Linked DNA regions of Diceros bicornis minor. The protein of the gene in region 2 purifies or fractionates together with the protein of the main gene of each other region. This does not show direct contact. Links are inferred from orthologs where the notes say so. Each region holds a gene or a part of one and is shown on either strand. Other genes may lie near its edges.

The links.
Region 1: the proteins of RELA (region 2) and PML purify together in Homo sapiens (affinity purification with western blotting; 3 studies listed by BioGRID, with this or other methods). This does not show direct contact. The link is inferred for Diceros bicornis minor from reciprocal best matches to the Homo sapiens genes RELA and PML.
Region 3: the proteins of RELA (region 2) and RNF182 purify together in Homo sapiens (affinity purification with western blotting; 3 studies listed by BioGRID). This does not show direct contact. The link is inferred for Diceros bicornis minor from reciprocal best matches to the Homo sapiens genes RELA and RNF182.
Region 4: the proteins of RELA (region 2) and SP1 purify together in Homo sapiens (affinity purification with western blotting; 7 studies listed by BioGRID and IntAct, with this or other methods). This does not show direct contact. The link is inferred for Diceros bicornis minor from reciprocal best matches to the Homo sapiens genes RELA and SP1.

The regions. Positions count from the first base shown.
Region 1 is NC_080744.1:67,085,934-67,093,893, reverse strand, and holds the start of PML (protein PML), read right to left. Parts: upstream 3,019-7,960; 5' UTR 2,911-3,018; coding exon 2,776-2,910; intron 1,006-2,775; coding exon 539-1,005; intron 1-538. Other genes in the region: STOML1 (stomatin-like protein 1), read left to right, coding at 5,223-5,340, 6,882-6,988.
Region 2 is NC_080770.1:7,547,291-7,554,680, reverse strand, and holds the start of RELA (transcription factor p65), read right to left. Parts: upstream 3,018-7,390; 5' UTR 2,183-3,017; coding exon 2,176-2,182; intron 1,563-2,175; coding exon 1,536-1,562; intron 1,434-1,535; coding exon 1,279-1,433; intron 1,121-1,278; coding exon 972-1,120; intron 113-971; coding exon 21-112; intron 1-20. UniProt on the Homo sapiens protein: NF-kappa-B is a pleiotropic transcription factor present in almost all cell types and is the endpoint of a series of signal transduction events that are initiated by a vast array of stimuli related to many biological processes such as inflammation, immunity, differentiation, cell growth, tumorigenesis and apoptosis.
Region 3 is NC_080753.1:52,952,586-52,959,500, forward strand, and holds the start of RNF182 (E3 ubiquitin-protein ligase RNF182), read right to left. Parts: upstream 3,008-6,915; 5' UTR 2,848-3,007; intron 1-2,847. UniProt on the Homo sapiens protein: E3 ubiquitin-protein ligase that mediates the ubiquitination of ATP6V0C and targets it to degradation via the ubiquitin-proteasome pathway.
Region 4 is NC_080756.1:16,909,873-16,917,083, forward strand, and holds the start of SP1 (transcription factor Sp1), read right to left. Parts: upstream 3,005-7,211; 5' UTR 2,898-3,004; coding exon 2,891-2,897; intron 2,338-2,890; exon of another isoform or gene 2,009-2,337; intron 1,827-2,008; coding exon 1,669-1,826; intron 1,353-1,668; coding exon 1-1,352. UniProt on the Homo sapiens protein: Transcription factor that can activate or repress transcription in response to physiological and pathological stimuli.

The DNA.
Region 1 (7,960 bases), on a different chromosome or scaffold from region 2:
TGTGTTTAATAAAAATAACCAGAGTTGATTTTTTTTTCATACCAACAATCCCAGATAGCACAGTGATAATGGTTTTGACTTTTCAGACAGCAAGTAACTGCCTGCATCTCATCCTAGAATCCAGCTACACGGAGACCCCAAGGCAGCACTTATGAAAAATTCCACCCTAAGACTTTCTAAAGGGCAGTTTGGTAACATGTATCAAAATGTAAAATTTCCATACCCCTTCACCCAGCAACGGCATTTCTAAAAGTTTATCCTAAAGAAATTACTAGATAAGGATGCAAAGATGATTTTGCAGCATTCTTTATTACAGAGGGAAATTGGAAACTTTTACTATCCACTCGCGTGGGATGGCTTAAATTGTGGTCATCACCACAGATGCTGCTGGTCTGAGGAGCACACTTTTGAGTTGCAAGACCCTGAAGCTCCTTGTCCCACGCTCCCAGCTGTGTGACTCTTCGGATCTCTGCTCCCCTCACCCTCTACCTGGCTCTTGCAAGGATGCGCCACCCGACCCCGGGGCCTGCCCTCTCACCTAGTCAGCGTAGGGGTGCGGTGGTTGGGGTTGGAGCAGAAGATGTTGTTGGACTTGCGCGTGCCGTCCAGGAACTCGCGCACCGACTGGCTGCGGAGCTCTGCCAGGCGTCGGGCCTCGTGCTTGAGGAACCACTGGTGCGCCTCGAAGCACTTGGCGCAGAGGAGCTGCTCACACTCGAAGCACCAGAAGTCGGCCGGCTCTTTGCAGCGGGTGCAAACGGCCTGCGCGTCCACGATCTGCCGGTACACCGACAGGCGCCGCTGCAGACTCTCGAAGAAGACGTTATCCAGGGCTCGCGCGTCAGCGCCTGGGGGCTGGGTCGCCTGGCAGATGGGGCACTGCATGCCCGGCGCCTCCAGGCATCCTGAGCACAGCGTGTGCAGACAAGGCAGCAGCTTAGGGCACTTGGCTTCGGCCTTGCAGCCCTGGCAGCGCAGGAACTGGAACTCCTCCTCCGTGGCTTGCTGGGGGAGCAGAGAGGGAGGGGAGGACTTAAGTCCCAGGAGTCCCAGCCAGGAGACACCCGCCGCTATGGCTGGAGGCTGGAGGCTGGAATGGGACTTCATATTCCATTCCAGGCAGTTACTGGATGATGCAAAACCCAGGCTTCTCAGTAACCCAATCCCCCATTTACTCACTCCACAATTTATTGAGCATCTATTTCCCATCATAGTACCAAGCCCTGAGATACAAGGACATATGGGATACATCCCTGCCCTCAAGGAACTCAGTTTAGAAAGGATATACATTAAGTATCAACTTTATACTCATAAGCACTCATATAAAGTGCTTAATACAGTTCGGTGGTACCTTAAAAAGTTAAACAGGACTACCACATGACCCAGCAATTCCACTCCTAGATACATACCCAAAAGAACTAAAAACACGAACCCAAACAGGTGCTTGTACACCCATATTCATAGAAGCATTATTCATAACAGACAGAGGTGGCAACAACCCAAGTGTTCATCAACAAATGAATGGATAAACAAAATGTGGTCTACACATACAACAGAATATTATCTAGTCTTAAAGAGGAAGGAAATTCTGCTACACCATGGATGAACCTTGAAGACATCATGCCAAGTCTTAGACAGTATGGTTAAGTCAATAAGGCAGACACAAAATGACACATCTTGCATGATCCCACTGATATGAAATACCTAGACTAGGCAAATTCACAGAAACAGAAAGTAGATTAGGGGTTACCAGGGGCTGGAGGGAGGGAAGAATATAAGAAGGTATTCCATAAACGGTACAGAGTTTCTGGGGTGATGAAAAAATTCTGGAAATAGACGGCGGTGATGGTTTCAGAACATTGTGAATATACTTAATGCCACTGAATTGTACACAGAGAAATGGTTAAAATGGTAAATTTTATGTTATGGATATTTTACCACAGTAAAAAAATGTAAAAAAAAAAAAAGTGCTTAACACAGGACCGGCACATGAGAGGTGCTCATAAACGCTAACTAGTATTGATAAGTAATATTATTCCTAGTTGTAATTATGCAAATAATACAAATTACTGCACTTACTGTGCTTTCATGAAGGGGAGCAAAAGGGCCTGGCAGAGCATAGAACAAGTGATCTGCGAGTTCCTTTGGGAGCGGGAGGCTGGGGGGTTCTGTCCAGAAGACTAAGGCAAAGCTTCCAGGAGGAGGCCCTAATAAACTCCCTTGGGGATGGGGGTTGGATGGGCAGGGTTTTCCAAGAGAAGAATCCGGAAGACTTCCCAGAGGAGAAACCACAGGAGCTGCGAGGGCTTAGCTGATACACCTCTCTCCTCTGGGCCACAGTTTCACTTTCTGATCTGGGAACTTGGATTTAACTTTGTCCACACCTGGGACATGCCACTGGCTTCAGGCGGGGGCAAGCCGGCTCCTAGCTCCATTCTCCCTCACCTGTGGTCCTTCATCTGAGGCGAGCGCTACCAGGCAAGTCATCAGGGTGCGTGGGGGAGTCCAGTTCTGAGGGCCACTGACCCTCAGCATCTTGCCCCCCTGCTCCTGGAGAATCGCAGCCCAGAAAGGCTCCCCTAACTCATCCCGATCCTCTCTTCTACTCCCCGCTACCCGTACGCCAGCCAAGAGGGTCAGGACCCCTAGAGTCTGGTCTTTCCTCTGTGTCACTCTTTAAGGTACTTGGCCAAGTTCCCCTCTCCCTTCCCACCTCTCCCCCCAACATAGCAAATCAACAAAGCCTAAACCCCACCTCCCAAAACCCAGTAGTACCTCTGTGGGGCAGTGGCTGGGGCTGGGCTGGTGGTCTTCCGAGAGGGACTCCGGGGGAGGCATGGTGGGCGTGTGGGGCAGCGCGGGATCCTGCTGGGACCCCGGAGATCTGGCGGGTGCAGGCTCCTGCTGCATGGACTCCAGCTCAGTTTCGATTCTCGATTTTGATCTTGGAGGGCGGGAAGAGAAGCTGAACGAGACGTGTGCGCCAGAAGGCTGTCTCTCGAGGGTTCGGAAAGAGGAGGTGCCCGCTCAGGGCCCGCCCCCCGAGAGGAAGTGAGACAGAAGCTGGGGGCGGTTCTAGGCGCAAAGAGGCAGGCTGTGGATTCTGAAGACACGCTCAGAGCGGGGAGGAGGAAAAAGGAGGAGCGGAGTAGACGCACAGCAGGCCTGGCGGTCAAAGGATAGTGGCGGGGCTGACCAGGAGGGAGGCAGCCCCCACCCTTGGCTGTGAGCCGTACCTTCAGCTCACACTGGCAAAGCTTTGTGCCAGCCCCCAGATGGGAGCTGGGGGCATGGAGACGAGTCACATGTGGCCCTTGCTTTAGAAGCCCTGATCTTGTGGAAGTAGCAGGCCCCCAAACTGAGATTTTCACACAGTTATTGGGACTGGCTGGAATGGAGATACTTTAGCTGGGACTTGAAGGAATGGTGGGAATTCACAGGGGATTCAGGGATAGGGGGAACACTTAGAGAGAACAGCAAGTGCAAAGGCATGGAGGCTTGAAACAGGAGAGCCTGTTTAGAAACTAGTTTTGGTTATTTTCAGATTTAAGAGGAGACTTACGAGCAATGTCGGCCCAGGAGTGGGCTGGGGCAAGATCATAGCTAAGGAGATGGACCAGTTCTGTGGGTGATAGTCGGTTTGGAACCGAGGAACAACATGATCCATTGTGCATGTTGGGACAGTCACTCTGACAATGTGAGACAGGTGGCCTGGCTTAGGAGAGTGGCTGTGGGATGCAGAGGAGAGGCCTGAGTTAGAGACACTGGGAGGCAGCGCTGAGTGGAGATACGAGGAACAGGATGATGACTTGGGCGAGAGCTGGAAAGGCTGATGAATCTGAGGCAGTGAGGCATGGGGAGGGAAGAGGGAGAACTAGTGAGTGAGTATGAAGAGGGTGAGGAGAAAGCAAGTTAGCTCTTGGCCAGTGGAGAGGCATGCCAGGCCCGCCAGCTGGTGAGGGGAGAAAGAGCAATTCCAGGTGGCCTCATTGGGCCAATGCCCCTGGCTTCAAACTTCAAAGCATCCCAACCACTGTGCTGACCCTTGTGTACCCATTCTGCGCTCAGTTCTAGCTTGGAACAGACTAGAAGGGATGGTGACAGGGCCTTGCTCTTGTAAAGCTTATAGTCTGGGGTGTGTGTGGAGGGGGCATGGGGGGAAATCCAACTTCCCAGGGACTGTGTGAGGACTCATGAACCTGCCCTACCCTCCAGCCTGATCAGTACCCGTAAAGCTTTAGAATCAGGCCATCAAAGTAGGAAAAGCCAAAGATGGTGAGCAGTCATCTGCAGAAGGACCTAGAAGTGGCCTACGGCTGGGGGCCTGAGGGGCTGAGGAGGCAGGACGGGCATGTGGCTGAGACAAGGAAAACTTTATTAATTTCTTGGCTCACTTTGGAAGATAGCCTACCCTAACACCCTGTTGGAAGTTAGTGCTTCTCAGAGTAAATTCACTGTTTGTATTCGGGTTTTCTCAAGCCACAGAGAGGCAAGTTACCTGGATCTGGGTACCTGGATCAAGGGGCGTGCTCTTTCTGGACCCCACCTGCCCTGGGATACCTCTGTGCCACCCTCTCATTCCTTACTCTGACATGCTCCCTGAGGTCTGCACAGAAATTTCTTTCTTTTTGTGCCAAAGTTAGGCCCTCCCACCCCCCTTAACCACAGTGACCTGGTCGACAAATAAGTACTGAGATCCACTTTGTGCCAGGCCTTGTTTGCTGGGCTGTGGGGACACGAAGAGTAATAATTTGCTGACCATGGCCTGGAGAAACCATAATTCTAAACAAGGGCACCCTGCACAAACACCCCGACCCCAGTGTTTGATTGAGAGGCAGTGCTGAGAAGCTGGTAGCATTTGCTTGACTCTGGAGAAGATTCAGTTCCTGAAAAACCCGTTACAAGATCCAACTTCCCCTCCTGCTCTTCTTCTAAGGCCGAGGGGGAGCATGGAGGAAGAGGCGAGAACTCCTTCAGCCTCCCAGGAACGCAGACCATCCTTCCTCCGCGCCCCGCGGCCACAGTTCGGTCCTCCCAGCGCAGGGGGCGCTGTGCGACGGCGGGAGCCGGGCCCGGCCTGCCTGCTCCTCCTGCGCCTGGGCCCCGCCGCTGGCGGCGCAGGGAAAACCGGAAGCGGAGGCCGGCAGGAGTCGGGTAGCGTAGGGCCGGCTGGTCCAGCCGGGCGCCGTGCGAGGGCGGGGGCGTGCCCCCTGTCAAGAGCCATGCTTGGCAGGTCTGGGTACCGGGCGCTGCCGTTGGGGGACTTTGACCGTTTTCAGCAGTCGAGCTTCGGCTTCCTGGGCTCGCAGAAGGGCTGCTTGTCCCCGGAGCCGGGGGCCGGTGAGTGGCCGCCCAGCACGGCGGACCTGGGGGGTACCGGCTGGCATCCCCAGGCCCGAACTCTTTGCCTCTCGAGAGTCAGCTGGTCTGGCGCCCTTGCACTCTAAGAGGAGGGGCCGAGAGGGGGCACGATGTGATGAGGAGCCTGGACTGGGCGCTGGGATGCTGGCGCTGATCCGCCCTTCTTAGGGCTTCCGGCTGCAGCCGCAGAGCTTTCTCATCTTCCAAGAAGCCTCGCCCCATCACATTTCTCCTCGGCCCTTATCAGCCCTTTACGCCTGGGCAGAGGTTTCAAGTTGCCATTTTGCCTAGAAAGAAACCAAGGTCTAGGCATAGGAGGTCACCAGCACACTAAGGGCACTTGGCTGCAGAGAAATGGCAGAATCTTCGCCCCTGGGGGCACCTGTAGACGCCCTGAGCTCCAGTATCTCCCTGTTTCCTGGTGGAGATGCGCAGGGCAAAAAGGCAGGCCCTCAGCTGCCTGTTGTGTCTGCTCTGGCCCTTCTTGCTCCAAAGCCTTGAGTTGTTCCCTTGGCCCACAGGCCAGATCCCACATTCCTCAGCCTGACAACCAAACTCTGGAGGATTTGGTCTCTCCGTGACCCTCTTGTACTGATAGCTGCCCCTATCCAAGAGTTCCTTTCCTGCAGTGGCCACATGGGTCAGAGCCAGGCAGGAAAGGAGACTTAGAGGATTTGGGGTTTCTGGGAGGATGGAGCAGAGGCTCCTGTCTGCTTCCTGTCCAAGGTTGGGAGGGGAAGGATAGCAGAGAATAACCTCATCCCAGATTCTGGGGCTGTCTCAGCTCCACTCCCATCCTGGGCTCTTGGTTCTCAGGGGCCAAGACCTCTGGCTCAGATGAGCCTCATCTTCCTGGTTCCCCCTCCCCTACCTCCTACCTGAAGCTGCTTCAAGTGAAGCTTGCATTTGATGGTCCTTAGGGCACTGAAGTGGGGTGAAGAATTGTGAGCTAGGAAAGAACATCTTAGCCCTCATTTATGGCTCCTATTGATGAGCCATTAATGCTTTATTCCTTTAGGCTAAGGCATTATCTGCAAAAGGACTCCTTGAAAGCACCCTTCTGGAGCTGATGGTAGAGGAGGAATGGGTTACGCCAGCAGCTTTCAGTTCAACCCAGCAAGTGTTTACAGACGCCCAGGTGCTCCTGGCTCTGTGCCACATATGCGAAGGCGATGTAAATCATACAAGAGGATTGACTCCTGCTCAGCCCAGTGAGAGAGCATCACATGGATTGGCTTCTCAGATCTGATGGCTGTTGCCTAACAGAGAACAGGCCTTGTGAGGGTGGGACTTGGGACAGATTAGTTTTGATGTGTTGGAGGAGGGAAGAGTCCTTAACTAGCACTTGCCCAAAGATATGGGAGTATGAGGCAAGGAGGCAGATTGAGAGCCTTGAGAAGAAAGGAGCCACTGAAAGGGGAGGGAGGCAAAAGGTACACTTGACCAAGTTCACTCTGCCTGCAGCTGTGCTGCCAGACCCAGTTGGTGTTCCTTGACTGCCTCTGTTCTCTTGTCCCCAGATGTGCCTCAGAGCTGGCCCTCCTGCCTCTGCCACGGCCTCATCAGTTTCCTGGGGTTCTTGCTGCTACTGATCACCTTCCCCATTTCCGGCTGGTTTGCCCTGAAGGTAAGGCTGACTGGGTCAGCTCCCAGGGTGGTTGGGCCACACTGAGAGCTTTGGCATTGATGGATGAATTCTCTGTCCTCTGCTCCCTTCCCCTAAATATTATATGATAACACTTCTGTGAAATGGGCTGAGCAAGGATTGTTCATTTTCATCTTTCAGATCAGGAAACTGGGCTCAGACTTGTCCAAAGTCATCCTGGGAGCCAGTAAGTGATAGAAACAAGCCTTCCCAAACTCCCAGTCCTGGCGTCAGGACACTGGCTTAGGGTGGCACAGATATCTCTGCCAAATCTTCCTCCTGTTGGGTTAGGCTAAATTAGAAATGAAAAACACTCAACTTGGCCCAGCAGTCAATGAGTAGTAATAGGAATTCAGGCCTCGTTTTCAACGAGGGTTGGTATAGATGGGAAGAGGATGCACTAGAGTTGAGGCTCACACCTGAAAGCTGCAGTGAAGGTGGAAGCCCAGGCAGGCCGTGTCCTTCGTGTGGCCCTAGGCCACAGCCAACTTCTCTAGAAAGCCTTTGGGTTTGGTGTGGTCTGAAAGGGAGTCCTTAGAAGATCCTAAAATCCTAGTCCTAAAACTGCCTCTGAAACAAATACTGTGTGACCTTGGGCAAGTCACTTTGCCTCTCTGGTCCTTCATTTCTCAATTTGGACATATTTTCTTCTTTGAGGACTCCAGGGACCTGAAGTTGGCAAAGCCCTTTGCTTGGAGGTGCTGTTAGAGCAGCCCCACCCTTTCTCCTAACTAATTCAAGGGCAGACAGTTTCCTGGTTTGACTCATGTCTAGCTGCAGACCACGGAAGTGAAAAGTGTCTGTGAGGATCAAGTCAATACAGTGTGGTAGTTGAGAGCATGGCCCCTGGAGTCGTTCAGAACTGCATGCAAGTCTTGCCAGTTTCACTTAGGGGCTGTGTGGTTTTTGAGCAAGTCACCGAACCTCTCAGAGCCTTGGTTGTCTCATCTGAAA
Region 2 (7,390 bases):
TTCTCCCCCTCACCCCTCACCTTGGAAGGGGTTGTTGTTGGTCTGGATGCGCTGACTGATGGCCTGCTCCAGGTCCCGCTTCTTTACACACTGGATCCCCAGGTTCTGGAAGCTGAGGCCCCCCAGGCATCAGTCCCACTGTCTCCAGCAGAGCCTGGGCCCTCCCGCCTCGCCCAGTCTGCCCATTCCTCTCCCACCCACTCACCAGATGATCACTCCGTGCTTAACCCCCTCGAATGGCTTCCCACTGTGCTGCAATGACACCCACTCCTTCTTCTGGCTGACACGCCCGTGCCCGGCCACCTGGCCCTAGCCCTAGTCCCCGTTGGCTCCCTGCCCTCAGCCACAGGGGCTTCTTTTCCGTTCTCCAAACACACTAAATTCATTCCCATTTCAAGGCCTCTGCACTTGTTCATTCTGCTTGGAATGTTCTTTCTGTGCTTCTCTGCTTTCTCACCGTTCAAATCTAACCCGAGAGAGGCCTTCCTGACCTCCTGATCCAAAGGAATGAGACCAGCTCCCCCGCCTCCCCCACTCCGGGCTATTCCTCCAGCCTATTACTGTTTTATTTTCAGCACTGAAATTATTACTAACAGTATCTTGTTTATTTATTTGTATATTTATTTACGGCCTGCCTCTGTCAACTGGTATGTAAGCTCCAGGGGAGACTGCTGGTCCAGTGGTTTTCTTCCTTACTGCAAGAGATGTGACACTGAGGGACTTGCCCCTCCAGTCACAGGGGTTAGGGGTTCAGAGGTGATTAAGGACCCATCCCTATCCCATGGAGCTCACATCTGCTTGAGAGTAGACACACAAACAGATAACTTCAAGACAAAGGGAATCTGCTTGCAGAGCTGGGGAGGAATTCAGCCCTCTGTCCAGAAAGGAGTAACACTGTGACAGCTACACACTGCCCCCTCTCTGGTCCTCCCACCTCCCGCTCCCTCCTCTGCTGTCCGAGGGGAGCTCACCTGTGGATGCAGCGGTCCGGGCAGAGCTCAGCCTCATAGAAGCCATCCCGGCAGTCTTTCCCCACGAGCTCGTGGGGGTGAGGCCGGTGAGGGGGGTCCTTGGTGACCAGGGAGATGCGAACTGTTCCTGGTCCTGTGTAGCCATTGATCTGTGCAAAGTACAGAGAGCATCCTAGAGGCTCAGGAATTGCAGACCCAACTCCCAGACACAGGTTGCACAGGGGTCTGGAAGCAAGGCCGCTGGGGTTCCAGAGCCCTGCCCGGATGACTCTGTGCCTCCCCCGCAACCCTGGGAGCCAGTGCTGACCTTGATGGTGGGGTGGGTCTTGGTGGTATCCGTGCTCCGCTCGCCTGGGATGCTGCCTGCTGAGCGGCCTTCACACTTGTAGCGGAAGCGCATGCCCCGCTGCTTGGGCTGTTCGATGATCTCCACATAGGGGCCAGAAGCCTGGGCTGGCTCTGCTGGGGAGACACCGGCCCGCCTCCATCAGGTGGCTGACCCCATGGCCCCTAACCCCCGGGGGGAGCTCATCCCGAACCACTGAGAAAGGATGGTCCACTTACCCGAGGAGAAGATGAGGGGGAACAGGTCTGCAAGGGGAGGGAGACAAGTGTCAGCACAAGCCCACTTCCCATCCTCACGAGGGAGGGCCTGCTTCCCCACGGAGAGGAGATGGAGCGAGGCTCCCTCCGAGGGACACTGAGTCAGGGCCCGCTACCTGGAAGCCGCAGTAAAACTAAGGGGTCGGGGTAAAGGAGCCAGAAACACCTGTTTCCCGAGGGAAAACTGGGTTTCGCGTCCTCCCTTTACTGGGGGAAACTGAGTCAGGTCCTTCTCTACTTTCATAAGGAAAACTAAGGGAGGACACTCCCCACCCCCCATCCAGAGAGGAAACTGAGTCAGATACAGGCTCCCCTAACAAGAAAACTAAGTCAGAACTGCCTCCATGGGCCTCGGGGGGAAACTGAGTCAAAGCTCACCCCACACCCCCACCCCAGGAGGATACTGAGTCAGGACCCCCTCCACCCAGAGGGGAAACTGAGTCAGACCCCTAACGCCTGCCCCGCCCCGCGCCACCATCCGGCCGGCCGCTCCCTGCGCAGCGCCCATCGGCGCAGGAAGGGGCGGAAGGCGGCGCGGGGCTCCCGCCGCGGTCCCGGCGGCCCCGGCGCGGCCACCCGCGGGGTTGGAGGGCGCCCTCACCTTCCATGGCCGGGGTCCCGGGGGCGGGGCCGGGGTCGCAGCTGGGCCCGCGGCGCCCACTACAGCCGAGCCATTCGCCAGAGGCGGAAATGCGCCGCGCGCGCCCGCCGCCGCGTCACTGCCGGGAATCCGAATGCGCCTGCGCGCTGCGCCGCCGCCGCTGCCACTGCTGCCGCCCCGCGGGGCCTGGGGCCAAGTGCCTGCTGCGCAGAGGACGAAGAGGCCGCGCGCGCCGTGCTGCCGGGGGCCGGGAACAAGCGTGCGCCCCGCGGGAGACGAAGAGGCTACCCGCCCGGAGGCTGCTCCCGGGGTTGGCGGGGCGGCTTGGCTCGCTCCTGGGGCTGGGCCTCCTGGAGGGCGGGCCCGGCGATTACTCACAATGTTTTTAGGGGATTTCGGGGCCCCCTCCCGCGGATCGGAGGAGTTTGGTGATGTCACCCAGGGCCGGGTCTGGAGCAGAGCCAGGGCTGCTGGGCTGCGGCCGCCCGCCCTGCGCAGGGAAAGGCCCGGGGCCTGCTTCGCCCGCAAAGGCCGGGTGGCTGACCTCCACACGGTTTCCTAATCGCTAAATGTGCTCTTGGTGGCTGTCGCCGCAGAAGCACTTTTTAGTTTCCTGGCCACCCCGATCGAGATGCAGCACGGGGAAAGGGAAGCGCCCGGACCTCTCCACCTGGCGGTGCTTGGATCGCGGGCTTCCCGGAGCCCACTGCACGCAAGGGGCGACCGAGGCTCCGCGCCGCGTCCGCTCCCGCCGGCGAGCGGGCCGAGGGCTCGTCGGTTTAAAATGCATCCACCCTGCCAGCCATCTGGGGCAGAGGTTGGGCAGGAGGCGCCCTGGGGTCAATCTCCGGAACCTCGTCTCCGCAGCCTGACGCCTGTGTCTTAGAAGGTCCGGGGCTCCCAGGGGCCAATTGAACCCGCTGGGTCACGCCCCCCGCCCGCCTCCCCAGGGCCTCCAGCTAGAGTTTAACCGTTGGCCAAAGCATTTCCAGCAGTTAACCGTCATGCAAGCCCTCGGCGGGAGTATTGTCCCCAAGGCCAACCCCAAGGCGCATTCGTGCGGGGTGAGGGAGGGGGCTAGAGCGCCCCCCACCCCAGGCTGTTTCCTCATCCGAGAATGAGGATGCTCCATGGCAGGCGGTGGAGCCTTCCCCAGATGAAGAAAGACTTTTTTATATTCTCTAAATTCATTCTAAATTAGGGAATCATGTGGGAATTGGAAAAGATTGGAAATTCTGACTTGCTTTCCCAGGCTCTGAAAAAACAGGAAGAGAAAAGTGAAAATAGTTATTACCCCTCCCACTCACTTGAGTTTCTCACGTGGCTGGCCCCGTTAGAAAAGTCTGCTAACTTTCTTGAGGAGGCCAACTTCAGGTCGACAGAATAGATTAATTATAATCTTTGGTTAGTGACACACAATCGTCATTGATCCTCGCATGATCCTCTTTTTAAAAATTCGTATGTGTTTATAACTTTTAAATTAATACATCGAGTTCCAGTGTACCCACTGCAAAACTCCAGGGGCTCGATGGAACCCGGCCAGGACTTAGATCCACCCTTGTGCTCCTAACCTGTTCTTCCCTTCCTTATCCCCCGTGTCGGGGGCACCACCATCCAGAATTCTGTATTTATTATTCCCTTGACTTTTTTGAAAGAAAAAATTTTTAAGAAAAATAAATTCACTCACATATACATGCCTAACCAATATATTGTTTAGTTTTGCTTAGTTTTGAACTTCTATGAAGAGAGTATCATATTTTTTTGTCCTTTATTTGCTTTCTTCACTCAACATGTTACCAAGGTTTATCCATTTCATGGTTCCATCCATACCTACTTTTTACTGCTGTATACTATTCTGCTGTGTAAATATACCACACACCATTTATTTATTTATTCATCCTGAGGATGACCATTTGAGTTTCCAGTTTTTTGCTATAATAAATAGTGTGGTTAAGAACATTCCTGTGAATGTCTCCTGTTGTATACGTTTTCCTGGGTATATACCTAAAAGTGATTTATTAGGGTATAGAATTTCCCTTTATCAGTTTTCTTTTTATTTATTTATTTATTTATTTATCCCCCCAAAGCCCCAGTAGATAGCTGTATGTCATAGCTGCACATCCTTCCAGTTGCTGTATGTGGGACATGGCCCCAGCATGGCCAGAGAAGCAGTGCGTCGGTGTGCGCCCTGGATCCGAACCCGGGCCACCAGCAGCAGAGCGCACGCACTTAACCACTAAGCCACAGGGCCGGCCCTATCAGTTTTCAAAATAATGCCTTGGTTCTCTATCATCCTCCAAAATCGATCAATAAACATTTAAAAAGATTATCAATGAATTCATGGGTTTATACATATTTGATGTGCTTTAATCTATTGCAATTATTATTCTTATTGAAGTTCAGATTGTTCCGTCTGTGGCCATTGGGAACCTTTTCAAGTTGATTCTTTAGTCCTTTTGACACAATTCCAGTAGTGTCCAAGGTCTGGAATCAGACAGCTTTCTGAGGAGTCCTGGTTCTTCTCTTCGTGGGAAATGACCACAGTCTGAGTGCCAGGGACACTTACTGTAGCTGGGTCAGTCACTGTAGTCCTTTTCAGTGAACAGTTAGCCAATATATATATATTTTTATATGACATGCGTTAGAAGTTCATACTGACATCTCCTTTTCAAATTTAGGATTACAGAGTTTTAACTCAATTACCTTACATATTTCTCCCATGTCAATAATAATCTCGATTCTCTTTTTACAGAAATAGAAAAATCCATCCTTAAATTCATATGGAATCTCAAGGAACTTTGATTAGCCAAAACAATCTTGAAAAAGAAGAACAAAATTGGAAGACCAACACTTCCTGATTTCAAAACCTACTACAAAGCTATAGTAATCAAAACAGTGTGGCACTGGCATAGAGACAGACATATAGACCAATGAAACGGAATAGAGAGCCAGCCCTGATGGCCTAGTGGTTAAAGTTCAGCACTCTCACTGCTTCCGTGGCCCCGGTTTGTTTCTGGTCAAAGAACCACACCACCCATCTTCAGTTGCCATGCTGTCGGGGTGGCTCACACAGAAGAATTAGAACGACTTACAACTAGGATACACAACCATGCACTGGGGCTTTGGGGAGAAAAAAAAAATAGAATAGAGAGCCCAGAGAAATAAACTCTCACATATAATAGTTGAATGATTTTTTTTTTAATTTTATTTATTTTTTTCCCCCAAAGCCCCAGTAGATAGTTGTATGTCATAGCTGCACATCTTTCTAGTTGCTGTACGTGGGACGCAGCCTCAGCATGGCCGGAGAAGCGGTGCGTCCGTGCGCGCCCGGGATCCGAACTCAGGCCGCCAGCAGCAGAGCGCGCGCACTTAACCACTAAGCCACCGGGCCGGCCCTTTTTTTTTTTTTTTTAAATTTTATTGAACGATTTTTGAAAAGAGCGCCAAGACCATTCAATGGGGAAAGGACAGTCTTTTCAACAAATGGTGCTGGGAAAACTGGATATCCAAATGCAAAAGAACGAAGTTGGACCCTTACCTAACACCATCTACACCATAGACAAATTAACTCAAAATGGATTGAAGACCTAAATTAAAGAGTTAAAACTATAAAACTCTTAGAAGAAACATAGGGGGAAAGCTTCACGACATTGAATTTGGCCATGATTTCTTGGATATGACACAAAAGCACAGGCAACAAAAGAAAAATAGATAAATTGGACTTTATCAAAATTAAAAACTTTTTTGCATCAAAGGACACTATCAACACAGTAAAAAAATCAATAGAATGTGAAGAAATGTTCGCAAATCACGTATCTGATAAGAATTAATATCCAGAATATATAAATAACTCCTACAACTCAACAATAAAAAAACTGAACAACCCAATTCAAAAATGGGCAATGAAGGGGCCAGCCCGTGGCGTAGTGGTTAAGTTCAAGCGCTCCGCTTCCGCAGCCTGGGGTTCTCGGGTTCAGATCCCAGGCATAGACCTACACACCGCTAGTCAAGCCATGCCATGGTGGTGTCCCACATACAAAATAGAGGAAGATTGGCACAGATGTTAGCTCAGGGACAATCTTCTCCACCAAAAAAAAAAAAAAAAGGCAATGGACTTAGATATTTCTTCAAAGAAGATATAAAATAAACCAATAAGCACATGAAAAAATGCTCAACATAACAGCTACCAAGGAAACCCAAATAAAACCACAATGAGATATCACTTCACATGCATTAGGATGGCTATTATCAGAAAAACAAAATAAGTGTTGGCAAGGATGTAGAGAAATTGGATTCCTTGTGCCTCACTGACAAGAATGTAAAATGGTGCAGCTGCTTTGGAAAACAGTATGGCAGTTCCTCAAAAAATTAAACAGAATTACCATATGATCCAGCAATTCCACTTCTGGGTATATGTATATACAAAACAGTTGAAAGCAAGAACTCAGATATTTGTGCACCAATGTTCACAGCGGCGTAATAGCCAAAAGGCAGAAAAAACTCAAATGTCCACGGACGGATGAATGGATGAACAAAGTGTAGTATATCCATACAATGGCACCATTCAGCCTTAAAAAGGAATGAAATTCTGGTACATGCTACAACATGGATGAACCTTGAAGACATTACACCAAGTGACATAAGGCAGACAAAAAAGGACAAATATTGTATGATTCTACTTATATGAGGTACTTAAAGTAGTCAAATTCATAGAGACAGAAAGTGGAATAATGGTCACCAGTGGCTGGGGAGAGGGGGAAATGGGGAGTTAGTGGTTAATGGGGACAGAGATGGGAAGGGGAGTTAGTGATTATTGGAGATGATGAAAAGATTCTGCAGATGGATAGTGGTGATGGTTGTCCAGCAATGTGAATGTACTTAATGCCACTGAACTGCACACTCAAAAATGGTTAAAATGGTATATTTTACGATAGTAAAAAAGACTCAGTTCTCAATGACACCAACCAATTACTCATTTGATCTATCTCACACTATACACAAAACACTCTCAGAATAACAATACCAACCCTACAACCAACAATGTGATTACTGAAAAGAGTATATTTTTACAGTTCTTGCCCTTAAGTTATATACAATTTTTTGGTACGTATTCATCATCAGGTTAAGGAAGCTCCTTTCTAATTCTTGTTTACTAAGAATGTTTGTGATAAATGGGTGTTGATTTTTATCAAATGCTTATCCTGCATCTATAGAG
Region 3 (6,915 bases), on a different chromosome or scaffold from region 2:
CAAAAAATTAAACACATGCCCACAAAAGTTTTTCAACCTCCATCAATCACTATTAATAATCCATGTCACAAAATACCACTTCCTGTCACCACCGCCATGTGTCTCCGATGCATTTTCTCAGCACAGCAGTAATAATCAATACCTACCACGCACAGCAGGTTAGTTAACAATACCTTATATTTATAGCATTTTTCCTCAAGGTCTCAGGGCTACATGATTCTCCACAGCCACAAATCCTAACCTAACTGTTTCGGTAAGGAAGAAATCATTAAAAAACCATCAACCTTCACAAATGTGCTTTTATAAATGCTACAACACATTGTACTAGACACTAAATTACCTACCAGTCCTCATGCTATCACAGTGCAACTAGAAATTGCAAAAGAACGTTGACCCAGAAACAGCCAATAAAGGCTTCAGTGGCCTTACGCCGCCCATGCCCTGTGCAGGCTCATAGGGTTACAAACAACTGATTTTCAATAGCACAAGTACGATGTCAATCTTAAGAACATTTCTTGGCTCCTTTTATATCTTTGAACATGCTTGATAAGTTAAGTTACAGAATTCTTTAGGTAGAACAATTGCTGTGGTTACAATTATCAGACCATATTTTACAACTTACACGAAAAATTAGGACCAGTTTTTCTTCATAAAATTAAAGACTCTGAAGCCTAGAAACGTAGAAGATTCATACTCCTGTGAACTAGTGAGAGAGACGAGTAGTATTTTACACCTGAGGATGCGCTGTGCTGTTCCCTACTTCCACCAGGTGGCTAATCTAAATTGTGGACATAAAGCACACTTTCCATTTGCATTTCCTGAGGAGATACTGTGGAGATCACAGTATTTTTTTCTTTCACTATCTGGTTATGCACATACTTCAGAACGCTAGTAACTTACACGAACATGCCAAATTACTGTTTTTCACTGCACCGACAAAAGCTTCATTTCATGCTTCAGAGCTTGTGTAAATAAACCACTCCAACAAAGCAGAGCTTGCAATACATGACTGTTTGTTTCTGATGTTTACTGACTCTTTTCTTGGCAGAAAGCAATACAGCTTTAAAGATGCCAAACTATATTGAATCTTGTGCCCTCTGTGAGCCAGCAGCAAAGGCAAAACATGAGTCCTTATTGTACTGAATTAACATTGGTTATCTCCGTTCTTCAGAATAGAAACTAAGGGCCACAGTGTAAATGTTTAGGCTAGAACCCATAGTGAGAGTCCCGTCCGGCTGAAAAGCAGGTCCAGATCCTTGCCCTTGAATGTTGGATTTGCTAACAAAGACCTGAATAAAGCCGTACTCTTGGTACCTCAGAAAAAACACAAAAATAATTATTTTTAGTACAAAATGTGAAACTACCCTATGCCTACATAATATGCCTAGGCTTTAATATTCTGATTGCCTTTCATGCTTAAATGAGAAATACTTATTTTCTCTCCTGGTTATCTTCTCAAAACAGATCTACATACTTCATTTTAATCAATGTACCATTTCATTACCATCATCAAAGAGTATTTAGCAGAGCATCTGTAAATCACTCTACAGGTAAAATTCGGTTTAAAAACAAACCCTATTGTGAAATAATCTGCAGACTGTTGCTGCAACTTAATCCTTTAGTTTCCAATATAATCTTCTAATGAAGTGACATTACTTAAAATTGCCAGCAAATATGAACAGACTTAGAAACCTAGTAATCAGCAGGCTGACAGGGATTTTGAAATCCCAAAAGAGGGAAGAGGACTATTACATAATCACTTTATGTCTAACACCTCAAGTAGCTTTAATATCCATAATTCTAATCAACTTAACTGCAATTCAAAACGATCAGTGTCATTGGTTTCTTTTCATTAGCTCCCTTTTAGCAAAAGTATAATTTCTTGCATTCCATATAATGTTCTCCAATAGACCTCTTCCAACTTATAAATTATTTTACCAAGTTAGGTATACAATTGAATCAACTGAATCATTTTCCAGTTATCAATGTGATATCTCTCCCCAATTAAAATAGATAATATTAACAAACATATTTCCTTCCGAATTGATCGGCTATATTCCTGAAAATACTGTTTTCCGTCTTTCACATTATTACACATGAGATGATATCTAAATAGCCAAAAAACAGTCTTCACAATCATACTTTTAATTCATTTTTTGTGTCTGCAACAAACTAAATATCATGAAATGATGGCAAGGCTTGGGGCTGTTTAGAAAGGGGGGAGGCACCCATAACTTGAGCAATTCCCCATCTAGTACCCGTGTGCCCTTGGCAACGGCATCGTAACCCTCTCATCACACTCATAAACACGGATGCAAAAAGCGCCCAGCTACCTGCCTTCAGAGGTGCTTCCGATTGCTTCCTGACACAAAAACGCAAGGCATTTTCCAGTTCCTTAAAGGATGAACACAATACCTTCCAGAAACAACAGCAGTGGCATCGTTCACTGCCAAGTATCTTCTCATCTACAAAGTATTGGTCCTGCGATTAAACTCTGGTATTGCTACATGGGAAACCAGGGCAACCGTTCCCTTTTAGTTACAGATGCAAGCACACCTTCCCAAGATAAAGGTCGTTATGTTCAAAATCCAAACAAACTTCAGAAGCACCTCAAAAGGCTTCCGTCACTGGCATATAAGACTGGGCTCACTTTTCAGAGATTATCAAAATGTCTCGGTTGTTCCCCTTACAATCCTCCCATCCGGTCCTCAAAGAGAATAAACTATGAAACATGAAAGTCCAAAGGTAAATATTTCCCCATCTTTTTTTTTTTTCTAAAAGCCTCGATAACACACCAAAAAAGAAAGAAAGAGAGAAGGACAGATAATGTAGGCAGGCACCACCCACCGCCTCTCTGCAAAATCGCATCCCCCAAGCGCACGGCCGCTGCTCCGGGGAAGCCTGCGCCGCACCGCCCGTCGAGCGGTGCCGGGACGGCGGCCCGGGCCGTCGTGGCCCGAGGAGGCTCAGCCGCCTCGGCCGCCGCCGCTGCCCGCGAAGTTTGCCGCCCGCCGCCGCCGCCGCCGCCGCCGCCCCCGGCCTCGGGGCGCTGACCGCCGGGCGCCGTCCGAGGCTGCGGGGCGGCCGGGCGGGCGGCTCCCGGGCGCGGGAGAGGCCGCGGCGGCGTCGGGACGCGCCCCTGGGAGACTCGGCTGCAGCCGGCCCCGGCGCCCGCTCCCCGCGGCGGCGGCCCCCCACCCCGGGCGCCCCGCCCGCCCCTCCCGGCCGCGGGCGCGCTCGCCTTACCTGGCCCGCGGCGGCGGCGGCGGCGGCGGCGGGCGCGGGGTCGGAGCGGCTCGGGCGGCGGCGGTGGCGGCGGCGCTGGGAGGGGAGGGAGGCGCCCGCGGAGGAGGAGCTCGGGCGCCGAGCGAGCGAGCGGGCGGGCAGGCGGGCGGCTTTGTTTCCACTGCGCCGAGCCGCCGACCCTGCGTCACCATGGCAACCGCCGGGGGCCCGGGGCCCAGTGGGGACCCCCGGGTACCCAGGGTCCGGGACCCGCCGGCCTAACGCCACCGGCCCCCGAACCGCCGCCCCTCTCCTCAGCAGTCTGGCTGCTCCGAGGGGACGAGGATCCCCAAGAAGCCGCCACCACCACAAACACACCCCTCTCTGTCTCCCTCACCAAATCATTTGTCTCGCCCCAGCAAGCAAGGGAAGGGGAAAGAGGGGAGCAAGCCCAGGGCCAATTCTTATTTCCATCCTTGTAGGCACTCCCTTTGGTGTCCCACACTGGGCCTTCCAAAGCCCCCCACCACACCTTTCTTCTGTGGAGCTGCGCCCTTCAAATGGAAATTCACTGAAGAGAGGAGAAAGAGCAGTGCAAACTGATAAAGTGTTGAGCAACTGGTACTCGGTGCTCCTGTTGCCACTGCCGCAGCATGTGCGGAGCTGCCAAGGGACACTGTACCTCTGCTCCTCCTCCTTCTTCTACCAAGCTTCGCCTCAGCTGGGTCTCACTCCACCCAAATCGGGTGTCAGTCTTGTTGAGGGCTCCGGTAGGAGAGAGGGGGAAGCAGGCTTTAATTTTTTTACTGTAAACAGAGGATGCACTTGTAACCTCACAGGCTAAGACACAACTTTCAGGCTGCATTGTGAATCGCAGCTGCTGCCACTGCTCAGCTACTGGCTGTGACTGCTAAGCATCTACCGTAAGCGTTGTCTTACTCTGTGCCAAGAACTAGCCATGCGCTGCAGGCCATGGCATTCTGGAGAAGAGAAGGGCAAGGCTAAGCTTTGCGCATGCTAGGCATCCTCTCCTAGGGAAATTCTTGAAGAGGGAGGGAAAAGTACTAGCAGACCACAGTAACGCTTCCTCTGAAGGACAGAGGTGGAGGACAGCCCCATGGGGTGAGTGAGTCATCACTCCATCCTATATTTTCTTGAAAGATCAGTTACTGAATCCAAAACCTACAGTGTCTTCTTTTAGACCCTGGGAAGTATGGCATTTGTTTTCTGGCATTTGTGAATCACCAAAGGAATGTCAATAACGTACAATAAAACCCCAGGGTAGCTGATGTTTTCTGGGTTTGCTACCTATCTGAGAAGCCATAAAGCAGAACAATGTTATTACCAGTTGAAGCCACACATATTAATTAATGAAAATATAAGATCCATTTTATGGTGGAGAATGGAAACATCTTGTTCCTCAGAAAGGTTGGCCACTTTCCTGTAATGGGAACATTAGTACTTCCAGACAAAGTCAAGAGACAAGGTCTTTTCCACAGGCTGTTAAGCAGTTTGGCAGTATTTGTCAAAATTTAAAATGTACACACTTTCACCCGGCTATCTTAATTGTTAGAAATCTATCGTGCTGCAAAACTCCCGCTGTATTGCAGCAGTTTTGTAATAGCAAAAGTTTGAAATAACTTGTATGTCCATCATTAGTGATGTGGCTAAAAAATTTGGCACATTCATACCATATAATACTATGCAGCCATTAAAAAGAATAAAATATATAAAATATGTAGAAAGATATTGATTTCTTATTAAAGAAAAAAGAGGGGCTGCAGGAGAATATGTATAGGGTGATCCCATATCTGTACAAAAAAGTTTCTAGATAGATAGATAGAAACATAGACATAAACATATAGATCAAAGTCTGGAAGAATACATACCTAATTGTTAACAGTGGTTTCTCTGAAACCAGAGTAAGACTTGAAGGGACTATTACTTGTTATTATATACAATTCCGTATTGTTTGGTTTGATTTTTTTTTTTCCAATGAGCATGCATTAGTAATTTTTCAATGAGGATCAAAAACAAAGATCCTTAATAACTGTTTATTGACCTATACATTACTGCCTGGTGGAGAACTGAATACAGAACAGCAAAAGGCTATTGAGTTGGCCATCCCTGCCCTCAGGTGCTGAAGGCTTGGAAAAGTCCACTTTGGGTCCACACTTAGTCAATTCCTTAGTGACCTGGTTCTGCCTTATTCTGTGAGATATTCTTGTAGACATTCACTTTTCCCAAGGAGATTTAGTTTTATCTCCTATCTTGAGGAAAAATCACTGCAATTTAAACAACAGATATTTATTTGGGCAATTAGAATTGCAATTCAGGAGACACAGATTTAGGCAGAAACCCAAAATGTGCTCTGGAGAAGACAAGGAAAGCAAGAGTTTATGAAAACAAAAAGAGATAAGTCACACAGGTGGTTTTATAAGACCCGTGATTGGTGTTGGCAACAACTGTTATTCCTTGGCTTCACATGATAGGTTGCTAAGGCCATCTCCAAGGCAAAAAATTCTTATCTATGGGAGTAAGCCTTTTTCTACGGGAGTAAGCTTTTTTGTTTTCTTGAAGGAAGGTCAAGATAACAACAGTGAGGCACAATTCAAAAAGTCACATTCCATCTGGGCAGAGATGTGGATAAGCTTCACTTCCTTAAGGGTTTCCCAGCTCCATTTTAGAAGCCCTGACATATGTTACTCTATTTCGATATTGCTGCCCACCTTCCCCCCTTTTAATCAAGATCTTTCCGCAGAAACCATCATGGATCAACCGTTTGATATATATAGGTATTGATATTTTTTTTGTTGCCAAGAAGGCTCATTTCTGGGAAGTCATGTCCCACGTAGGAGGGAAAGTGAGATGCTCGACCATCAGCAAGAGTAGCGCAGTGAGCAAGAGTAATGCAGATTGACCACATCTGAGCAATAAGGAGGCAGTCAGGAGATGAGTCTTAGGCATAGTCTGTCTGGAAAAGGAATCAAGTCCTTTGTTTGTTCCAAGTTCCAAGATTGGTCGATCATCTCAAGTCACTGAGCAATCATCACTAAGGGTTTAGATGGGGAAGATATAAGATTAGAAATACAAGCATGGTCCTGTGTCTTGGGATTTACAGTCTTCATCAGATGTCGTCTGCTTCTTGTCCAAGTGGTTGTTGTTTTGGGGCAATTTTTGATAACTTTAAGATCACCAACAGGTTGAGAAGTCTGGTCAGGGGTCGTAGATCTGGGAGCCTTTTTAAAATGAGAAACATGAATCCATGAGTCAATACCTTTTAACTTTGCAGCGCAAGGATTAATCAGCAATATTTGATATGGTCCCTTCCAACAAGGCTGGAGGGAGTCCTTTTGGAGGTGTCTTTTCCAGTAAACCATATCTCCACTGGTAGGCTGTGGTGTTAGATGTCTTCATCTCCCAGAAGCATGGGGTAAAAAGATTGTTCCACCAGTCTCTCGTTTGTTTGGAGGGCTTGGATTAAGCCTTTACAATAGGTCATTATGTCACCTCTGAGTAGATTAGGTTTATGGGCCCCGTAGTTCAGTCTCATTGGCCTCCCAGTAATAATTCCAAAAGGTGAAAGTTTATGTTTCCCAAAAAAGTGGATCTGAAATTTAACAGTACTAGTGGGAGAGACTTGGGCCATGGCAGATGGAAAGATTCCATAAGTTTTGCCAGTTGGGTTCT
Region 4 (7,211 bases), on a different chromosome or scaffold from region 2:
GGTGTAAGCGTGGTATTGCTGCTGCTGGTCTGCCCCAAGGAAACACCCTGCATTGGGGCCAAGGTGATTGTCTGGGCCTGTGGGTTCTGGACTTGGAGGTTCTGCAGCTGAAGAGTCTGCCAACTAACCTGTCCATTGGGCCCCACTGTTGGTGTCCGGATGATGATGGGACCAGAGTTTGGAACAGCCTGAAGCTGGAGGTTCTGGAGGGTTTCCTGGGAGATAGCTTGAGTTGTAAAGGTCTGCCCTGACAATGGTGCTGCTTGGAGGGCCTGGAGGGCCTGTCCCCCTTGAACTAGCTGAGGCTGGATAAGAATTTGTTGTTGTTGCTGCGTCTGCTGGTTTTGCTCTCCCTCTTTTTGCTGACTTGCTTGCAGTGAGCCTCCAGATGTCTGGTTCTGCTGGATGCTCAGAGCATCAGACCCCTGTAGCCCACTGACTCTCTGGGGTGTCTGACCTTGAGAGTTGGTCCCTGCTGATCCGCTGGTGGTAAAGTTCATAATTCCCATGTTGCTGGTGGTAGTAGTTGTTGAATAGCTATTGGCATTGGTGAAAAAGGAGCTGGAACTGGCTTGTGATGATACCAAACTGGCAGAACTGATGGCAGTCCCTGAGGTGACAGGCTGTGAGCCGCTCTCCTGGGACCCAGAGCTGCTGATCGTGACTGCCTGAGAGCTAGGAGTCAAAGTAGCTGCAGAAACGCTATTGACAGGTAGCAAAGTGATATTCCCATTCAGGGCCACTGGTACATTGGTCACATACTGAGTCTGTCCTGAGAGTACATTATTAGCCAGGCCTTGGAGGGGAACAGCCTGCTGGAGTAGATTTGGCATAGCAGCAATGATGTTGCCTCCACTTCCTCGATTTGTGATGATCTGTTGGTTTGCACCTGGTATGATCTGTATTTGACCAGAACCATCCTGCTGCACTTGGGCCCCAGTGGCAGCAAACTGCAGCTGTTGCCCATCTACGGTCTGGAACTGTGGGATTACTTGATACTGAATATTAGGCATCACTCCAGGTAGTCCTGTCAGGACTTGCTGGTTCTGTAAGTTGGAAGTGGCAGCCACAACATACTGCCCACCAGAGACGGTGCGATTCTTGGAAGACTCGCTGCCATTGCTGCCATTGGTACTGCTGCCACCCTGTTCCTTTGAGGTAGGGGTAGCCCCAGAGGAGGAAGAGATGATCTGCCAGCCATTGGCACCCTGTGAAAGTTGTGTGGCTGTGAGGTCAAGCTCACCTGTGCCCCCTGACTGGTTTGGGCCCTGGGAGTTGTTACTGTTTTCATTGGGTGACTCAATTCTGCTGCAAGTTGCTGCCAGCAGAGCCAAAGGGGATGGCTGAGATTCCTGGCCAGAAAATACAGAAGAAAGTAGTTAGTTTAGTGACACCCAGCTGCCAGCCCAGAGGGCAGTATACAACAAATAAGCAGCAACACAGTGCAAACAAAGAGCAAAAAAACACAACCAAAACCTGACCTATCTATATCGCTAAAATTCTCATCTTTGGGGATCTCCAAGTCACTTGCCTTTCTGGGCTTACTTCCCTATCTATAAAATGGTTCAGCCTCTTCCTAAAAATTTTTCTGTGAAAAGGAAGACAACCATCTAAGAATACCTACATCCTCTCAACACCTTCCCCAACTGTATCCTGATCATCACTTACCTGCCCTCCTCCTCCTCCACTGCTGCTGCTACTGCCTGTGCTGCTGCTTCGAGCCTGAGAAAAGGCACCACCACCATTACCATTGCCCCCATTATTGCCACCAACGCCTTTTTCAATCTTCACCACGGCTGTCATTTCATCCATGGAGTGATCTTGATCTACGAGGAATTAAAAGACAAACAACTTAAAGTCGGGGGAAGGAAAAGGGTAAAGCGAGGAAGGGTAAAGGAGACTATGATGAAACAGAAATGACTAACAGGAAGGTGAAAGGCGCCAGTGTGAAAAAGAAAAAAAAAAAAATGGATTGGGGGAGAAAGGACAGTTATAAGACGTGTAAGACCTGAACTAGGCCCGGTACTGCCAAAACTGGGCCTCAATTCTCCCTTGCACAAAACTAAACTCAGAAAACACTGAAAAAGTACTTCCCGTATAAGAAAGGTGAGGGGCGGTGGGCATGTTGAAAGAGTTCCAAAATAAGAAAAAGTATTCTGGGGAAAAAAAGGAGAAGGATAGGTAAAGCAAAAAACATGTGGGTGGATGGAAAGCTTGCTAAAATTAGGGTCAAAGATGGAGAAAGAGGAAAATTCAAGTGTAAAAAGGAACAAGAGGAGAGAAGGGGAAAAGGGGAAAGAAGAGCTAAGTGTGAGTGGGGGAGCATTTGTGAACACTGGTGAGGGGCTAAAGGAGTCCAGGGGTTAGAAATCAGGAGGTTTCGGGGCGGATGGAGGAAGGCGGACCCTAGAGGGAAAGGGCGGTTTCGGGGTGAGGGGCGTGGAAAGGGCGGGACGGGGGGGGAGGGGAAACCTACCGGGGGGGGGAGGGCCTTGGGGCAGGCAGCGACGAGAGGGCGAACCAGGGAGGCGGTTGGCCCGGGCGGGGCCTGCACTGCTCGGGCCGCCCCCGCGGCTCCAGCCCCCGGCGGGAGGAGCCTCAGGCGGGCGGCCGAGTAGTGGGGGGTAAGGCCCGTCCCCCGTGGCCGGGGCGGGCAGGGGGCGGGCGAGGCCACGCTGCCCCCTCCCCCGGGGCGGGCGGCCCATCCCCCTCCTCCTCGGAGGCCCCGCCACTGCCCTTCTCCCTCCCTTCCCTCCGCCCCGGGCGGGACCAAGGCCGCCGCCGCCGCCTCCCGCCCGCCCCCCCTCACGGCGGGGACCGCCCGGTCGGCCCTCGCGCGCGCCCCCTCACTCCCCTCCCACCCCTAAGCTTGGAGTGGACTCATCCTTACCGCTCATGGTGGCAGCTGAGGGACGAGCTCAAGGGGGTCCTGTCCGGGGGGGTTGGGGGGGGCCGGGAAAAACGCGGACGCTGACGAGGCAAGCGAACCCGGACCGGACAGGGAGGGGGGGGGTAAGGAGGAGGGAGCAGCGCGCCACAAGCCCGGCCTATGCCCCGCCCCACTACTGCTGCCCCGCCCAATGAGGGAGGGAGAAAGGAGGGACTTGCAGAAGAAAGGCGGGCAGATTACCCAATGGCAAGACTCGCTTGCTCTCTGAGGCGTGTAAGACAAAGTTGCGTGTCTGGTGTCCGCCCAAAAAGGCCGCCCTCTCAGTGTTAAAAGCCAATGAAAGACGAAGGAAGTGGGGATGGGCGGAAGCTACAGATGATAGGCTTGGAAAGAAACCAGTCAACAGGCAGGCGGGCTGCCTCAGACGTAGGGATAGGAAGAGCTTTGATTGGAATGACAGAATAACGACCAACCAGAACCCTGGACATGCCTGGGCAAAGTTCTGGTGGGACGAGAGGTAAGAAGTAGGCAGCAACGGGATAGGAAGCTGATCGAAACCAATCAGAAATCAGGCGGGCAGCCAGGGAAGTTATGATTGGATTAACACTGAAAAGAGACAAGATAGGACGCAAATTGACGTAAAGCAAAGGCCAATTAAACGCGGAATGAACTCTGAGGGCGGGAACGTGGAGTGGGCAGAGGAGAATTGGCGTCTCCCTCAGTCACTCAGTCCAATGAGGCGGCGAAAGAAGCCAGGCACCGCCTCCAACTTGGCCAATGGGCGTTACTAGAGCCGCCGGTCGTGGGGGAGGGAACAGGGCTGTGCCAGGAGGAGTCCGTCGCCATATTGGACCTTCTCAAGGGACGTCTTTACAGGGATTAGGTGGTGCGCGTCAGCGGAGCCTTGCAGCTCCACAACTGTATGGGCCACGACACTCGGCGTGCGCTTATGCCTTGTCACCCATGCTCGTTTGAGTCTTCATTTAACCGCCCTTAAAAGTCCTCTCGGGCCTCACCCCTCCCCGGGGTGGGCGGACAGGCAGGCAGATCCTCTGAGTGTGGGTGTAAGCCCTGTGGGTGCAGACGCCACGAGATCTGGCGACGGCGCGCACACAGCCAGTGAACACCGAGCTGACAAATTTGCAAGGTCTTTGGGAGACTCCGGCAAGCGCCATTTTATTGAATTCCCCCAGAGGTGCTGACCACTTCACTTAGGGCGGGTGGACTTTTCAAGAGCTTGTCTCCTGAGGCTAAAGTGCATTGGAGAATCACCCAGAGTCAAGGTCCCATAAGCCACTTACTTTTTCCCCCTTAATTGTAAACACTTTTCTAAGCATAAAACAAGATAGAGAGGATTCCTGCTTTTTGCAGCTACAAAGGTTGAAGGAGTTTTTCCCCGAAGCACCTGAATTTCTGGCCTCCCATTCTGCCTCTCCTTTATCCTAGTTTTGGTGGAGGCAGCCTGGGTGGCTTGGCAATGACATAAGGAGGTCATTCTCTGTAGTACTTGTATCTTAGATGTTGTCACTTCATTTTCTACAATTTCAGCACTTCGTGATATGTTGTGAGGTTTTTAAGTCTGGATTCCCCTAAAACTGAGGCCTCTGCTGCTTTGGACAGGGCCTGAATAAGGTGAAATGACTGTTGAATGCCTACTGTGTTAGGTGCCTAAGTCAGTTAGGCGTTTTGCATTCCTTATGTCACCCTCATAAGGAAGATATTAGTAAATACTAGAGCTATTATGTATTTTATAAGTGAAGAAATTTAGGCTGGGAAGTAACTTGCCCAAGGTCACAAAGCTAATGAGTTGTAGTGCCAAATTCCAACCCAGAATAGTCCCACAAAAAGTCTTCTATAAATTCTTAAGTGAATATAGCAATGCCCTGTATAACCATTTATAAAAATGGACTTAATTAAAAAAGTTTTTTTTTAATTGTTTATAAAAAATGCTTTTTTATTGTTACCTTCTAGCTCCTGAAAAAAAAAATACTTTCAGGACAGCTCAGATGGCATCATCCTCTTGTATAGTTTTATTATAAAACATCACATTACATTCTAATTGAAAGCAGCTCTCCCTAGATCAAAGTTTCTCAAAATATAATGTCAGGGAGTCTCTATCTGAATCCTCTGGGCTGCTTTTTTTTCTTCTTTTTTTATGAGGAGATCAGCCCTGTGCTAACATCTGCCAATTCTCCTCTATTTTTGCTGAGGAAGACTGGCCCTGGGCTAACATCCGTGCCCATCTTCCTCTACTCTACATGGGACGCCGCCACAGCATGGCTTGCCAAGCAGTGCGTTGGTGCGCGCCCAGGATCCAAACCGGCAAACCCCGGGCCACCACAGCGAAGCGCGTGCACTTAACCGCTTATGCCACCCGGCCGCCCCGTGGGCTGCCTTTTTAAAAAGGTGGATTCCTAGGGCCAGCCCCGTGGCTTAGTGGTTAAGTGCACGCGCTCCGCTGCTGGCAGCCCGGGGTTCAGATCCCGGGCGCGCACCGCTTCTCCGGCCATGCTGGGGCCGTGTCCCACATACAGCAACTGGAAGGATGTGCAGCTATGACATACAACTATCTACTGGGGCTTTGGGGGGAAAAATAAATAAATAAAATCTTTACCAAAAAAAAAAAAAAGATGGATTCCTAGACCCCCCTCTTGGACCTAATAAATCAGATTTTCTGGGGTGGGACTTGAGAATGTGCATTTTTTAAGTAGCTCTTTCAAGTGACTGCCTAAATTGGAGTTTAAGAAACACTAAAGGAAGAGACTAGAGAGATGAAATTTTCAGAAGGGAAGGAACTTCCTGGAGGGAATGAACTGCATTACTCATCTTTGTAAACCAAGCTCTAGAGATTCTAACAGCTGGTTAGTGTATTCAGCAAAAGACCACATCTAAACTTGAGGGGGAGGTGGTGGGACGCAGGACGACTAAGATTGTGGAGCAGTCCTCTGAACGTTTCACATATATTTTCTAACTTAATCCTTTCACCCAATCTAAGAAACTGTAATCCTCTTTTACAGATGAGAAAACTGAGGCTCAGATCCTTCAGTTAAATTATGACTTCTGTTTAGTTTCCAAAGCTTGTGTATTTTCCATGGTTCTAAGCTAGTCCATGCCTGAAATGGGAACTAGGATTTGATTTTATCCCAGGCACTGAGAACAAGGCTTAGATTTAGACTGAGAAATTCAAGAGCCATCATCCTAGAGGGGAAGAGGGGAGGAAGGCAGGCAAAAGGGGTAATTAGGCCCATGTGTATGGTGATGGATTATAATTAGTTTTTGGGTGGTGAACATGATGTAATCTACACAGAAATCAAAATATAATGACATACACCTGAAATTTTTTTTTTTTTTTTGTGAGGAGATCAGCCCTGTGCTAACATCCGCCAATCCTCCTCTTTTTTTGCTGAGGAAGACGGCCCTGAGCTAACATCTGTGCCCATCTTCCTCCACTTTATATGGGACGCCGCCACAGCATGGCTTGCCAAGCAGTGCATCGGTGCGCGCCCGGGATCCGAACCAGCGAACCCCGGGCCGCCGCAGCGGAGCGCGCGCACTTAACTGCTTGCACCACCGGGCCGGCCCCTGAAATTTAAAATAAACTAAAATAGGGGCTGTTCTGGTGGTGTAGTGGTTAAGCTCGTACACTCTGCTCCTGCGGCTCGGGTTCGTGGGTTTGGATCCTGGGCGCGGACCTACACACCACTCAAGCCATGCTGTGGCAGCGTCCCACATACAAAATAGAAGGAAGACTGGCACAGATGTTAGTTTCAGGGCCAGTCTTCCTCACCAAAAAATAAAATAATTTTAAAAAATAAATATAATAAAAAAAAATTCTGTCTTGTTAAAAAAAAAAAAAAGAGCCATCACCCTTTTCACAATACTCTCTCTTTGCTTCTCCAGAACAAGACAGACTTCAGACCCTGGCCAGTAGGGATGTCCTCAACATGTGCTCGCTTATTGACAGTCCCTGAAAGCAAATGGACATGATCCATCTTTTCCAATTACTCTGTGAAAACCTGAATGAATTTTCTTTAGACTAAACACAAAAAAACAAAAATGAATAAACTTATTTCAAGGCTTTTCAAACCCCTCACATGCCAGTGTCCGTCTATACTCGTGAAGTCATTTAAATAACTCCTAATGACTGTGTTTAAAAAGCAAAGTGGATCATTTGAGAGTTGTTTCACTTCAAAATCACTCATAAGAACACGAATTATGCCTGGCTGTAACATAGTAAGCCTCACATGTACTAAGTGGTACCGTTCAACATGGCAGTCAAGGCTCTTATTGGTCTGCCCTGCACTTATTCAGGCTCATCTTC